Notamacropus eugenii: one gene and its partner. The protein of the gene in region 1 interacts with the protein of each later gene in a pairwise test. Links are inferred from orthologs where the notes say so. Each region holds a gene or a part of one and is shown on either strand. Other genes may lie near its edges.

Evidence for each region.
Region 2: the proteins of ZBTB8A (region 1) and RAD23A interact in binary tests that used the Homo sapiens proteins (3 or more experiments, as listed by UniProt). The two-hybrid records come from large-scale screens. The link is inferred for Notamacropus eugenii from reciprocal best matches to the Homo sapiens genes ZBTB8A and RAD23A.

Annotation. Positions count from the first base shown.
Region 1 is NC_092876.1:77,436,678-77,443,894, reverse strand, and holds the start of ZBTB8A (zinc finger and BTB domain-containing protein 8A), read left to right. Parts: upstream 1-4,131; 5' UTR 4,132-7,217. UniProt on the Homo sapiens protein: May be involved in transcriptional regulation.
Region 2 is NC_092875.1:77,924,069-77,931,839, forward strand, and holds the start of RAD23A (UV excision repair protein RAD23 homolog A), read right to left. Parts: upstream 3,035-7,771; 5' UTR 2,972-3,034; coding exon 2,798-2,971; intron 1,796-2,797; coding exon 1,634-1,795; intron 1,461-1,633; coding exon 1,267-1,460; intron 1-1,266. Other genes in the region: CALR (calreticulin), read right to left, coding at 7,586-7,771. UniProt on the Homo sapiens protein: Multiubiquitin chain receptor involved in modulation of proteasomal degradation. Binds to 'Lys-48'-linked polyubiquitin chains in a length-dependent manner and with a lower affinity to 'Lys-63'-linked polyubiquitin chains.

The sequences.
Region 1 (7,217 bases):
ACTGTGACTCTCTTTTGATGGTGCTTCCATCAAAGAGGGGTTTTTTCAATTCAGATACTGTGAATTCTAAATTTTATTTTAGTGTAAGGGTTTAAATGAGGAGTTAATTCTGAAAACCAGTAAAACACTTGAATGTAAAATAAGACGTCTATCCAGAGGTGATGGACAAGGAAGCTCTGTGACAGATATCTAAGTCTCCTCCCAACTCTAAGATTCCAGGATTCTATGATCTCAAGATTTGAAAGTTCCAAGATGCCAGCATCTAAGGACTTGGTGGCTCCAGGATTCCCTTTTTCAAGTTTTCAGAGGAATCTAAAATTCTAGGACTCAAGAGTCTGTAATATGTTGATTAAGTAGGTAAGCATGGAAAGCACATAATAAACTCAGAAGACACTGATAGCAATTTTTCATAATAAATCAAAGGGCTGTCCTGCTCCCTCTCTGAGGACGCACTATAAAGTGAGCCTTACATGGCCGGTAGCAGAGCCCCTGTGGCAGCTCACCGAATGTTAAATCTGAGTGGAATCTTAAAGATGATTGAGTCCAAACCCCTCATTTTACAGGTGAGGAAACTGAAACCCTAATGGTCAAATGGTTTGTCCCGAATCATACAAGGGATCAGTGATAGAACTCTTCCAGCCTTTGAAGTTCAGTGGCGCCCCCCACCTAGCACATGTTTTGTGATTCCAGAAGCATTCCACAGGGTCATAGATGTCTAGTCCATTTTACAGAAAAATCTTGAGTCCCAGAGATTATGTTACGGGGGTTCAAACCCAATGACTCTAACGCCAAGCTAGCATTCCAATAGAATGTTAGAACAGAAGCGTAAAAAGCAAGTTTTAGTGTCCTGTCCCCATGATCTTTTCAAAGCTTCCACAAGGGACATAGGGAGGCACACAGGGTGAAGAGAAATGCTTGTGAGATCCACTATATTCTTCCACCCTCTTTGCAGTCTTCTTGGGGCTCTGGTGAATATGGCTATTTAGAGGATTAAGGAAATCTTGGGTAATAAAGCCGTCTTTTTAATTGGGCACACTGGTTAAATTTACATTGTGGCCTGATTCTTTGCCTTCTCTTAAGGTATAAATGTGTTTTCCTGAAGGTAGTACAGTAATTTTGTTCTCAGCCTCCTGAGTACATAATTGACTGTATGCCTTATGGAATTAGCTAGGAGCCTAGAAATGATTTATTGGTAAATTACTTTGAACCAGCAAGTCACTGCAAAGAGGTTAGTACAGTATGGGCTTAAATAGCTAGCCAAAGAAAGAGCCAGATTTATGGCTGTTGGAAGAAAAAATTGGAGTGAGGTTTACTATTAAAAAATGAGTCAATGCTAGAAACATTTTCCTTAATATAAAAAACCGGGCACTCTTTCCTGTTGTTTTAAAGGAGAGATCTTAATAGGAGAGATCTTAATAAGACAGAGAAACCCTAAATTTTTGGTGTTGGAGGGATATACAGAAAGCAGTTTTCAGTGATTAAACTTTAAATGTTTGAGATTTTTCTACCTCGCAGTCTAGCTTTTGCACCTATATAAGATCACAGTCCTGTTTGGGACCTTATAACCTGTCTGTATTCCTCAGCATAAAAACATAAATGCCCATTGGGGACTTCTCTATAAGATCCAGTAGGATGGGGAATACATCCTAGAAATGGAAGAATGTCAGTAGTTCATCCTTTTCATACCCTGTATTCCAGAATCAAGAATGCTTGACACACCCTCCCTAATTCCACCCTTCTAAAGCCTTGGGAAGTGGCTGGCTTCCCTTTTTTGCAAAGGTATAGATGGCAGGTAACTAGCCCAAGGTGATAGTTCATTTCAGGTGAAGAAGAAGAATTGAAGAAATCCAGGCTTTGAGGTGTATCCTCAGCCCAGTAAATGGATCATTACTGAATTTGAAAGTAGCAGAGTGGCTTGGAGAAAATGGGATGTGAAATTTCATCCTTGAAAGATTTCCCCAGGATAGAGGACCTTTCCATAATAATGTTTCAACCTATTATGGTCATAGATGGCCCATTATTTCCCCTTCATCTCAATTCTGGAGAGTAATATCCTCACTAGAAACAGTGGCATTCGTGATTATACTCAGCTCACTGGGTTCTGTCATCTTGCTGGAGGAGGTGTGTTTTTTTATGTGCAGTATCAGTTCGTAAACTAAATGTCTATTTATTTTGAATTACTGTCCACATAGGAGATATTTCTGAGCTTTTGTTATTGCCTCTGAACTGTCATTCAATGGAGCTGGTAATGTTTTTATAAGCAGTAAATTCACAGCTGTGCCAGTAGTAATTGAGATTTTGTGTCCCACAGGGAAGTCTTGATGAACCCTTTTCTTTCTGTACATTCAATCCAAGTTCCCCAAGAAATTAAAAAGAAACCTGGAATTGTAGAAATTATGAGCAGAGGAGAAGAAGGAGGATTTGCGTGTGTAATGGAATTTGAAGTGGGGTCCATGGATAGTGGGGACAGGCCTTCCTCATGATGGAGGTGGGGTGGGTGGGTTTGGAATGTAAATACAGATTAGTTGTAGTAGGCTAAGGAATCCTACTGTCTGGTCATTTGGCCAAGAGTTGCTGCTCGGTGTAAATATATGAGTGGTCACTAGACACTGAACATTCTTAGTGAGGTGCTGATCCATGGTCCACAGTTCTACTGTAGAATGAAAACTTCTGGCCATCCTAGGTCATGTCAAACTTAACATGGAGAACGTCCTGGAAATATGGTGCAGTCATACCCAACTCACAAGGGGAGGAGAGAACAGGCAGAAAGGCCTACATACAATGAAGCCAAGACTAGATACAGGAATAAGCCTATCAGACCATTCAGATGACTTTATTTGGGCCTAGAGATTTCCTTGTGTAGAGAGAATAGGATTATCCTTGTGAAATCCTCTGGGGATGCTGGGGCCTTTAAAGGGTTAGGTTAAGAGAAACATTCCCAGGGCACTCTGAGCAGAGAGTCCTATAGCCCTGGGGGCTTGGCTAGGTTGGCCTTTCATTTTCCTGCAGAGTTCATCATCCCATTTGGAAAATTATGCACTTTACTATTTTGTTTGGCCCAGGCCATGTTTGCATTGATTTGTTTCCTTGTACTGTTTGGTCAATCTACCAAGTTCTCTTGCTGTTAGCCAAGTTCTACTGCACCTCCTTTATAGGGCTGAAAAGACATCCTCCTTCTCACATGGCACTTTCTGAGGAAGAAGGAAAACCACTTTGAGTATAGGTAGATTGCTTTGTGTCTAATATGCCCTTTTCTGAGGAGATAGCAAAGAAAACCCTTTCTATTTGGGCACCTTCAAGTGGCAAATGAAAAGCATGGTATTTTCCCAAGGACAGAGAGGCAGCTAAGTAGTACAGTAGACTTGTAGTCAGAAAAAACTGAGTTCATATCCTGTCTCAGCCTTCAGCTGTGTGATGCTAGACAAGTATTTTAACTGCCCTCAATCTTTGTTTCCACATCTGTAAAATAGGAACATAAGTGTACCTACTTTATACGGTTGCTGTGAGGATGAAATAACATGAAAAGTGCTTTGCACACTTTATAAATGTCCTATGTAAATGTTAGCTTTATCATTATCAACATTCACAGTGGACATTTAAGGGTGAGTAAGCATTGTATAGGTAAAGACATTGGACTCAAAATAGCACGACCTGGGTCTCGTGGTTCTTAACTGGATGGTTATGGAGGAGTTGTTTTCTCTGTCTGGATCTAAGTTTCATCATTAGAAAGAGAGAGTAGGCTTTTTCTTTTTGAACCCGGAAGAATAAAAGCGAAGGCAACGAGGAAAAGGTACAAAGAAGCCAGTGTAAGAAATGCTGTCAGGAAACACTTCTAACAATAAGAGCTGTCCAGAAGTAAAACGGACTTCTTAGAGACAGGTGAGCTCCCCCTCCTTTTGGAGGGCTTTGGGCAGAGGTTAGATGATTACTTGTCTAGTATACTATACTGGAGATTCCTTTTTTCCCTTAAGTATAGGGTGGACCAGATGGCTACTGAGGTCCCTTCCAGCTCTTAAATTCTGTGGATCACTTGTAAAAAGCTCAGAGCAGTATTATCTGTTAGTACTCCCTACCTCCCGGGGTTGCTATGAGAAGGATGATTTTTATACTGCAAAGACTATAAAAATGTGACCCATTATTACCACTCTTGGTCTTCAGTACATTATAGAAATGAATTTTCTGCTGATTCAAGACTTAATTATCCGATGACCTTGAATAGTCATCAGATACCTTGCACTTAGTCATAGAATGTCAGAGCTAGGAGCCACTTGTTTGTTGTTCAGTCACGTCCACCTCTTCCTGCTTCCATTTGAGATTTTCTTGGCAGAGTGGTTTGCCATTTCCTTCTCCAGCTCATTTTACAGATGAAAAAATTCAGGCAAATTGGGTTAAGTGATTTGCCCAGGGTCACATAGCTAGTAAGTATCTGAGGCCAGATTTGAACTCAGGAAGATGAGACTTCCTTACTCCTATAGTGCTCTACATTGTACTACCTAGCTAGAGCCACTTAGGATATAATCATTTCTAAAAGGGAAATATTAGGGGCCATAAAAGGGAACACATTTTACAGTCACACAGCGCTACATGGTGGTAGAGCTGGGACGAGAATATATGTCTTCTGTGACTGCTAGTCTAGTGCTTCCCATCAAATTGTGTTGCTGTCACGTAAGTACATCAGTAAACTATTTTGGAAGGAGGTGGTCAGCCATTGTGCAGAGGAAAACATGACTGGGACCTCATGTGATTATATACACTTGTCTTGTGTTGGACATGGCCTGCCAACTTTAAAGTTGGACAAGAAGAGGTCAAGAATCAAATAATAGCTCACATTGCTATAGCACTTTGAGACTCCACTGTACTTTCCTCATAACAATCCTGTGAGTTAGGTAGTGAAAGCATTTTTGTTTTTTGTTTTGGATGAGACCTGTGATTTCATTGGTATAGAGATCAGCAACTGCTCTGTGACTTACACCTTTAGAGAACTACCTGGGGCACCAGGAAGGTAAGTGACTTGCCCAGGATCAAACAAAGAGTATCTGTTAGAGGCAGGATTTAATCCAGGTCTTCCTGACTTCCAAATGGGACCTCTGTCCACTCTCTCAATTTGGCACTGGTAAAAGTATCTTTATCTCGATTTTAGAGATGATGAAACTGAAGCCCAGAAGGATGAAGTGCCTTGCCTAAAGTCACTCAGGGCTGAGACTAGAATCCAAGAAATTCTGATTCTAGGACCAGTGTTATAGCTGTTGTGTCACACTATGCCCTTCAGTACCAGAAAGTTTATTTAGTTCTGTTGTGTTTGATGCACAGGCAGATCAACAACCAGAAAAGTCCAAGCTCTGAATGAAATAGGAATATTAGATCCAACGTGAACCATTTACTTTAAATGAGTATTGTGGGTTGTTGTTTGCATATATTCATGGTCTTGGTCTCCCCTGTGGAAAAAAATGGTGAAATAAGATCCTCAAATTTCCCTTGTGACAACATTACAGGATGAACCCAGTACTCATTGAGAAACGTTAATTGTGCATGATTCAAGAGACTGGGTGGGGCTGTCTTGTTTGAAGCTAAGAAAAAATGACCAGTCATCTTCACTAGCCAATATCTCCCATGTTATTACTGTGTCTAAAATAAAAATGTATCTCCAGTGTTTGGGATCTTAGTGCATCTGAAGGACAGCATCTTTGACAGCATCCTTTATCTAAGTTTTTCTAAAAGGCCTTTATAGTAGTTGCTTCGACTATCAGTGAAAAATGAATGTCTGTTTTTATTACTTACTCCTCCTTCCTCTCTCCCCAAGGAGTATTCCATGTGTTAGTCAGAAGAAAATTCTATCTATTCTAAGATAAAAATGAATCTGGGGCCAGCAAGGGTCCAAATTAGCATCTCATTTAGAAAATGAGCTTGGGAAGAAAAGGGGATGATACCTAAGGTACCATTATTCCTGCTTGGCTTATGCTGAATCACATTATGAAGCCGAAACAAAAAGCTTAGAATGAAAACATCTCTAGCCTTTAGCATAAAAAGACTTTCGTTATCTTATTTGGCAATGTATTCTCAAAAGCCAGTCTGGGTACAGGAATGTCCTGTCCCTTCTAGTACATGTAGTAACTCAAGTAGATCATTGGAAAGCTTGGGCTGAGTAAGGAACTTTCCCATTTTTGGCAGGATCACAGGTTTAGAGCAGGCAGGAATCCTTGGGCTCACCTACAAGGGAGCCCCTTGTTTAAGAGATGAGGAAACTGGGCCCAAAGAAGTGAATGACTTGCCCAAAGTTACACAGATATTAAGTGGCAGATATGGGATTTGAACTCAGCTCTTTTGACCCTACATCTAATACTTTTTTTACCTGGACCGTACTGCTTCCATTGTAAACAAGTTCCATGGGAAAGCTGTGCGACCCTGTACTTACCACTGAGTGACAGTGTTGTTTTTGTGGTACTTGGTGCTGTCTGTAACGTTCTGCCTTAGCAGCATTTCCCTAGAACTACTTTATCACCACACCAGTGGGGCTGGTAACATGTAAAGGGTTGCTTATGCACATTGTGAGTGTGAAATTATAGATTCTTTGCTCTTAGCTGCACATCTTTTGTTTACTTGGGCCTCATTCGTATTCAGGTTTTGGGTTTGATTTCCTGTAACTGAGATGAGGATGACACTTGCTTTATGGGAAAGACTAATGAATGTAAATCACTTTGCAAGCCTTAAGGCACTATATACATGCTGTCCTCCTCCTCCTCCTCATCACTATTATTAGCCTTTAGTTGAGGCAAAGCAACATATCACAAAATAGAATCATTCAGTCAATCAGCTAGCATTTATTAAGTGCCTTCTATGTGTTAGGCACTATATAAGCACTGCAGAGACAAAGAAAGGCAAAACCAACAAAAGACAGCCCTCACTCTCAAGGAGGTAACATGAAACATGAGACAACGTGCAAACAACTATATGTAATTGATATATCCAGGGTAAATTGGAGATGACTCAGAGGCAAGGCATTAAGATTAGGGAGGCATACAAATGGCTTCTTGCAGAAGGTGGGATTTTAGCTGAGACTTGAAAGAAGCCAAATGAAGGCTAGTTTTATGAACTGTACTTTGAAAAGAAAAATTATTGTATTATTCATATCTCTGTTCATGTCTTGGTCTCATGGTGTAAGAGACTACCAGTCTCCCTTTGGAGATGGAATTTTTGCTAATCTGTTTCTCCAATGAGGT
Region 2 (7,771 bases), on another chromosome or scaffold:
ACAATTCTGCAATGTGACAAAACGGCCAAAAAAGTAAAGTTAGAACAATCCAAGGCTGCTATGAGAGTCACACTGTTCAAAGCAAAGAAGGCAAAAGTTCTGCTCTATTCTGCCCTTATCAAACCGCCTGAGAGGCAAGTAGGATGGTAAAAGAATGGGAGAACAAGCTGTGAGGAGGAGCTGAAGGAACTGAGGAAGTTTGGGGTAGAAAAGGGAACATCTGAGGCTACAAGGGAGCAGGTTAAGATCTGAAGGGCTATCCCGTGGAGAACTGCTTCTGCTTGATCTAAGGACAGAAATAAGAGCAATGGGAAGTTGCTAAGAAATAGATTAAGGCTTAATGTAAGCAAAATCTTCCTAACTAGGAGAGCTGTCCCAAAGAAGCATGAGGCTGCCTTGGGAGGTAGTGAGGTCCCCTTCACTAGGAGTCTTCAGGAGAAGCCAGGCAACCATGGATTAGAGGTGTTGTTAGAAAAGATTCTTGCTTAGGACCCAGTTGGATTCAGATGGCCTCTGAGATCCCATTCCTTCATTCAGACTCTGTGCCCTCTGATTCAGGCTCCTCAAAGGGCTGCTCACCTCTCTCTCGCCATCCTAGGGGCCCTGGATCTCTGGGAGTGGGGACAGAAGACAACAAACCCAGAGATGCATTGGAGCAGTCTCATATATGTGAGACTTGGATCAGATTCATCCTGCTGGGCTCCAAAGGGTAAAACTTAGATTGCAAAATCATCTAATTTGAGCTGGAAGGGACTTTGGAAATCATCTAGTCAACCCTCTCATTTTACAGATGAGGAAACTGAGCCCCAGGGAATGTTAAGTAATGTATACAAGTTCACATAACATAAAGTGTAAGCCATAGGACTTGAACCCAGATCCTCAGACACCAGAGCCAGTGACCTGCAGTACACTGTACAATGCACTGAATGGAAAAGGTACAAGTTGTAGGTAGGCAGATTTTGACTCAATTTAAAGAATATTTTCTAAAAACTTAGAGATGTCCAAGAATGAAATGGGCTGCCTCAGGATTTAGTTCCCTGTTACTGGAAGTCTTAAAGCAGAGGTTGGATGATAAAATGATCAGAAATGACACAGAAGGAATGTCATTTAACCCCTTTTTAGGCCTTGGCTGCCTTGTTTATAAATGAAGGAACTGGAATTGATGCCCTCTGAGGTCCCTTTCCAATACAGAGATCCTGGGAAAGCATGAGAAAAGGAAAGTCCAGAGCTCATGAGTCCCCCAACCCCAACCTGGGAAGGCCTTACCCAGGCCCAGCCTCTGGAGGTGTCCCAGCAGCTGACTCTTCTGTGGACTTCTTCTCCTCACTGGGTGCTGGCGGGGGTAGGGGCATGGCAACAATGGTGGGAGCTGGTGGGGCAGGTGTGGAGGGCTCCGGGGTGTTGGCAGCAGCAGGGGCAGAGGGCTCCGGAGGTGCCGAAGTGGCAAGCCCAGCTTTGGCCTGGGAGGGCCAAAGAGAAGATAGGTCAGAGCCTTGTTTTTATCAGCTCCAACAGAGCTGGGGGACCAGACCCCACCCTCACCAGGCCTAATCTATCTAGGACACAGATGGGCACACACCATAGTTGGAATATCTTCTAGTCTCCTCTACCCCAGGAGCCTACTGGTCCTTACCTTAGTCACCATGACGACCACAAAGTTTTTCTCATCAATCTTATAGTCTCTGATAGGGACATCGTCACTGAGGATCTTTCCTGCATAGATAAGCTTCTGTCCAGACACAGGGAAGGCATCACGACCCTTTTCTGCCTCAATCTTCTCCTTGAGCACCTTCACCTGAGGAGAAAATCACAGAATTTAGGTCAGGAAAGACCCTTAGAAAAAGAATCCAACCTCATCCTTTTACAGATAGGGAAACTGAGACCCAAAACACAAAGGATTTGTCCAAGGGTTACAAAGTGAGAGTCAAGAGATCGGGGAGGGGAAGGAAGGGTAGAGTCTTATAGACTGGGTCCTCAGAACTCTGGGGACCACAGGAGGAAAGGGGAACAGATGCCAATATGGAGAGTCGCCCAGGCTAGAAGTCAGGAGCTGGAATTTCTCATCCCAGCTCTTGCTCACTATATGAACCTAAGCAAGTCCCTTTTTTCCTGGGCTTCAGTTTCCTCATCTTTCCTATGAGCAGAGGATTTAGAGATCAGGGGATTTAGAAGGGCCCTTGGAGTCTGTAAAAGGAGGGATAATCCCTTCCCTGCCTCAGCCCGCAGTCAGTACCACAGCTGAAGCAAAGGTCCAGGATATGCAGGGCTCCCAGCGCTTCTTTGTCTGCCTGTGTCACCCTCGCCTCTCCCCCTCGTACCTCCGGTACTTGTGGGGACAGTTCTCCCCCCACTACCTACTCGGCAGTGTTGTTGGGTGGGGGGAGCTATAGCTCACTATCCAAAGTAAGTCACTGCTGTCGTCATCATCATCATCATCTTTACCTTCATCGCCCAGGGCTACCGGGGCTTCCCCAACAGAGGACCAGAGCTCTGCCAGCAGCCTCCCCCTTGTCCAAAAAGTAGCTCTGGGGGTGGCTCCCCATCCCCGCCCCCAAAGGCCCAGAGAGACAGGGTGGGCGCTGACCGCTGAAGGAGAGCGTGGTGGTAACGGGGAGAGGGGGGACTTGGGGGACCTGGAAGGGGGAGAGGGTTCAGGGAAGGGGAGGGAGGTCCGCTAATGACAGCAAGGGGGAGGGGGTGGAAGGGGCTGCGTCTGGCCCGCCCCGCGGGGAGAAGGGCGAAGGCGAGTCGGACTTGTGCTGTCCCGTCCCGGCCTCCGTCCCCGTCCCGGCCTCACCGTCTCCCCCGGCTCCATGCGGATCTTAAACGTTTGTTGCTGCAGCGTCTTCAAGGTGACGGTGACGGCCATGGCTGGGCCGGGGGGCGGCGGCAGCGACTGCTTCCGTCCGTCCGGTCCGTCCCTCACTCCGTCCGACGCGGCGGCCCCGGGACAGTAGACACACGGGAACATGCAACTCACGCCGCCGCCATCTTAGCGCCCTGAGCCACGCCGGGAACTGCTTCCCGGTCATGCGCGCCTCGTGACGAGACCGAGGAGGGAGAGGCGCGAGCGCAGCGACCCCGATCACGTGACGGGGGTCGATGAACGGAAAAAAAAGGAATTTTCTCTCCCGGTCATGCGTACTGAGGAACCACCTTGTCGCTGTCGCAGGGGCAGCACACCTCTGCCCCCCCATTCTCCCCTGGAGTTTGCGCACTAGAGGCTCCTCGTATGGTGACGTCATTGTTTGGGTGGCGTCATGTTGTCACAAAATGGCCCCAGGAGATCATAGTGTGATAGTTAGGGCTGCAAGGGACTTTACAAGTCCAACCGTTTCTTTTACAGATGAGGAAATTGAGGCCCAGAAATGCTTCAGTGACTTGTCCAAGGTCACACAGGTAGCAAACAGAAGAACAAGCCTGGTGCTGTCACCTCCAGGGCGGGGGGAGCCAGGTTTCCCCCATCCCCCATCCCCTACATTCCTACATCCCCTACACCTTCCAGCCTGTCCCCTCCCAGCAAAGTCCATATCCTGTGCTTTCAAGAAAATCCCAGTTGTTTGGGGAAATAGCCTCGCTTGGATCACCCGGTGCTACGCATCTCTTGGTCCTGAGGCTTTCACCGACTCCTCTGGGCGAAGCTCCAGACACGAACACAACATCCGGCCTCTCGCCGCTCTCCAGGAGGTCCCCTCTGTTAGGAGGTCATCACGTAGGGGAGGTCTCAGCTCAGAGTCAGAGGGTGGGGTCAGATCTCCCACCAGTGCGGACTCCTTACGTGATGGCTTCGCAGGTTACGCCACACTTCCCAAGCTAGATTTTTGTCCATCTGGGACCCAGTTCAGCATTTTATACAGTGTAGTCAACGTTTGTTGAATTCCATTGACAAGCTTAATATCAAAAAATGTAGTTGGGGGGAAAATGCAGTGGAATATCTCTCACTTCCAACTTGATAAGAACTCCCGGCTTCCTTCAAAGCTCAGGTGTACCACCTCCACAGGAAGCCTCTCTTGTTCCCCTCCCCCACTGTGAATTATCTCTAGAAATTTCTCATATTTACTTATGCAGGGATGTGCTGGTAAATTTTTAACATACTCTGCAAAAATAAAAAAGGTAGCACAACACCCTTTTAAGTTTAATTTGCATTATTAACATTTTCATCACATTTTAGAGCAGTGATATCAATAGAAATGGTGGTCACTGAAGTACATAAGAATCCCCGTAGGACACATAGTGACTTAGAAAAGCACATATTAATATTACCAGTGTTTTGTAATCTTTTTATTTATAGAAGTGTTGTGGGCTTGCAGGTTTAGTGTTCAATACATCTGGTCTACAGTATAACCAACAAACAATAAATCATGTTTGCTAATTTTCAAGGTATAAAAGCACACACTGAAATGTAAACAATCAGCGTGATTGGCTCAATAGCTGCCGTGCATCGCTGCTTATAAATGAACATGTATTCCCAGCGGAATGTAAGCTTGAGAGTTTCCAGCCTCTAGAACACTGTGGCCCTTATTGCTACTGTAGCTGTTGCTGCTGAGTTTTCTTTTAATATTGTATTTGGGGTTTTCTCGGCAGATAAAACAGGGTGAAGTGACTTGCCCAGGGTCTAGTAAGTGTGTAAGGCCAGATTTGAACGCAGGAAGATGTATCTTCCTAACTTCAGGCCAGGCATTCTATCCACTGTGCCACTGTGTAAGCCTTAATGATAGTCAAATTTCATTCTAGTTCATCTTTCTCATCCACCAGTTTGCTAAGTTCACTGAGTAAACATATTAATGAACAAGCATTTTATTAAGCAAATACCATTCGTCAAGCATCGTACTAAGTACCGGGGATATAAATACTAGTCCTGCTAGATTCTAGTAAGAGACGACATAGGGGAATAGTTGTGGCAAGGGAGGGACACTTGATTCTAGAAAGTACAAAGGGGCAATAGCCGATATAGCCTATCAGTTATGACCAGCACTAATTTTCTCAAACACACAAAATGAGAGATCTGAACTTCAGGGAGGATACAACTTAAGAGCAGGTATACAATGAGTTAAGGGACTTGTATCTTTATTCCGCTGGTCCTCTGGGATCTCTGGGGGACCTCAAATGACATTACAATAACGGAAGGAGGCTTGGAGGCCATTTCATCTATCCCTGTGCAGAGATCCCTTTACTAACAGCGCTAACAGATGGCTCACAAGCCCTAGTGAAGAGACACCCAACATGACTGTTTGTCACAAAGTAACTTCCATTCTGTGATCTTAGTTCTGAGCCCAAAAGACTTCAACCTTAATAAGTCCTCTCCTTGAAGGCCTCACCTCACCTGTCTCTTTACCCAAGCCCAACAGCCATCCTTTCCTACCCCAATCTTTTAAGGCTTGAGGATCCTCATTATCTTGTTTGTTGACCTCTTTTGGATGGGTAATCTAGATGGCACACAATGGAAACAGAGAGCTGGGCATGGAGTCATAAAGACTCAAGTTCAGATTCCCACCTCAGACTCTGTCCAGCAAGTCACTTAATCTGTGTCAGTCAACCCATCTGTAAATGAAGATAATAGCATCTACCTCCCAGGGTTGTTGTGAGGACCAAATGGGATCTGGAACACAGTAAGCACTATAAAAATGTTAGCTGTTGTCCTTTCTAGGCTCTCCTTTGGAGACCTCACCTGTCAGATCAATCATTCCTGGGGCTCTCTCTGGACTTGACTAGTCCCTGGCGCTCTCTTCTCTCTAGTATTTGCTAGCAATCTGCACAGCTTGAGGCCCAGTTATCAAGCTGGAGCCCAGTACCAAATTCTCCCAACTTCCCAATCTTGACAACAGCCACACCCTCCTTAGGCCCCTCATTCAGGGACTCAGCCCCAATATAGTTCCACTTTCATTTCCTCTATTCAAGCAACTTAATGCCTGTCATGAACAAAGCAGTCTATGCTAGACCTTGGTGATAGAAACAGCTACAATCAAGGGCTCTCAACTTCATGGTCTAACACATAAATATCTTGATCACAACACAAACTATAAAAACCAGTCCTCATCCTGTCATTCTGGCAAGAAATTAGGATAATTTCAACTCACCAAACCCTATATACATACTCTGACACAGCAATCACTGGGATTTATGTACGCCACACTAAGTGATCAAGAGGGAAAAGGGCCCATATAAATAAAGTGGGTGGTCATTATTTGGGGATGACAATTTCTGCAATTTCAGGGGGGAAGAATAGAAACTTTATGTAATAATGCAGAGTAGTACAGAGCCAGAATTCATATGCTGATGATAAAAATAACTCTAAAAGAAAAAAGCACTTTTATCAATGAAATTACCAGTGATAACTGTAGAAAACTTGGAGCAGGCTTCCCTTCAAAGAGTGGACAGACTGGTACAGAATGAATATACATTTTCAGACACTGCTATTATGTGAATTTTTTTCCCTTGACTCTGTTACCAGGGAGGGTAGAGAGCTTTGTATTGGGAGTGGTGGCTAGTGATACTGATGGGAAAGAAAATTTTAAAGACTCAATAAAAAAATAAGTTACCCAGAAGAAAGAAGTTAGGTGGTAAAGGTTCTGACAGTGTTATTATTACGTTAAATCTTACTTATAAACTCAAAACTGAATAGTTACTGTTAACAGGTCCTCCCAAAAAGCTTTCCTTCATAATCCAGTCTTTTGGCTCCTGGAGAGAGGCCATGGACCAGGATCTCTCCTGTTGTTTGGAACTCTGAGCCCTACAGCACAGGTGGGGAAAAGAAGCTGACCAGAGGCACAGAGGCCATCTTCTCTGGCCAGAGCAGCCACTAGACAGACACTTCACACTGACCAGAACCCCAGGGATCTATCTGTTCCACCCCACTAGCTTAGGGCTGGGCAGCAGTTCAGAAAACTGAGAAGCTTACACTGCTCCCCTCTCCAAGAAATCAAACACATGAGGGAGACACAAAACTTAATTTAATAGAAATTTCTTTTTTTGTTGTTCTTACATTCTCAATGTGACCAAGCAAGAACTGACAACCCCTCCCTAACCCTCCCCCCCACAACAGGGGCTCTGCCCCCACCCCTGCCCTCAGCCCAGGCAGAGGGGAAAAAAGGGAGCAAAGAGTTTGGCTTAGGCACTGTTGGCCAAACCCTAGCCCCCCTCAGTGCTATGGGATACCTAAGGGCAGGGCCAGGCTGACTGACCCCCCTCCTCCTCCTCTCTGGCTCCTGAGGATGGGGTAAAAACAGAGGAGCCAGGACTTGAGGCCAGTTGGGGAAAGGAGGCAGCTTAGTATCGGAAGTCTCTATCCCTGGGTAGTCAACAGGGAGGCTGAGCATCCATGCAGAGTGACACCTTGGATCCCCATGCCCCTGAGCCCATGGCTGAAGGGTGCCCCCCACTATCTGCCATTCCCAAGAGGCTCTTGAGGGCAGAGGGACCTGAGGGAGAGTGGATGAAACCGACACCAGTTTAAAAAACAACAAAAACAAAAACCCACCCAGCCCCAAACAACCCCACCTATTGGAAACAGTTCTCCAGTCTCATAGAGACATTAGTTGGCTCCTGGCCTGGCCCCCCAGGGTGCTTCCAGCCTCAGTCCTGGCCCCTACAGCTCATCCTTGGGCTGGGCACCATCCTCATCTTCCTCATCGTCCTTCTCGTCCTCTTCTTCATCCTCCCTGTCCTCCTCATCTTTGTCCTCTCCGGCCTCTTCTTCCTCCTTCAGCTTCTTTTCCTCTTCCTCCTCACGCTGCCGTTCTGCCTCATCCTGCTGTTCCTTCATCTTCTTCTC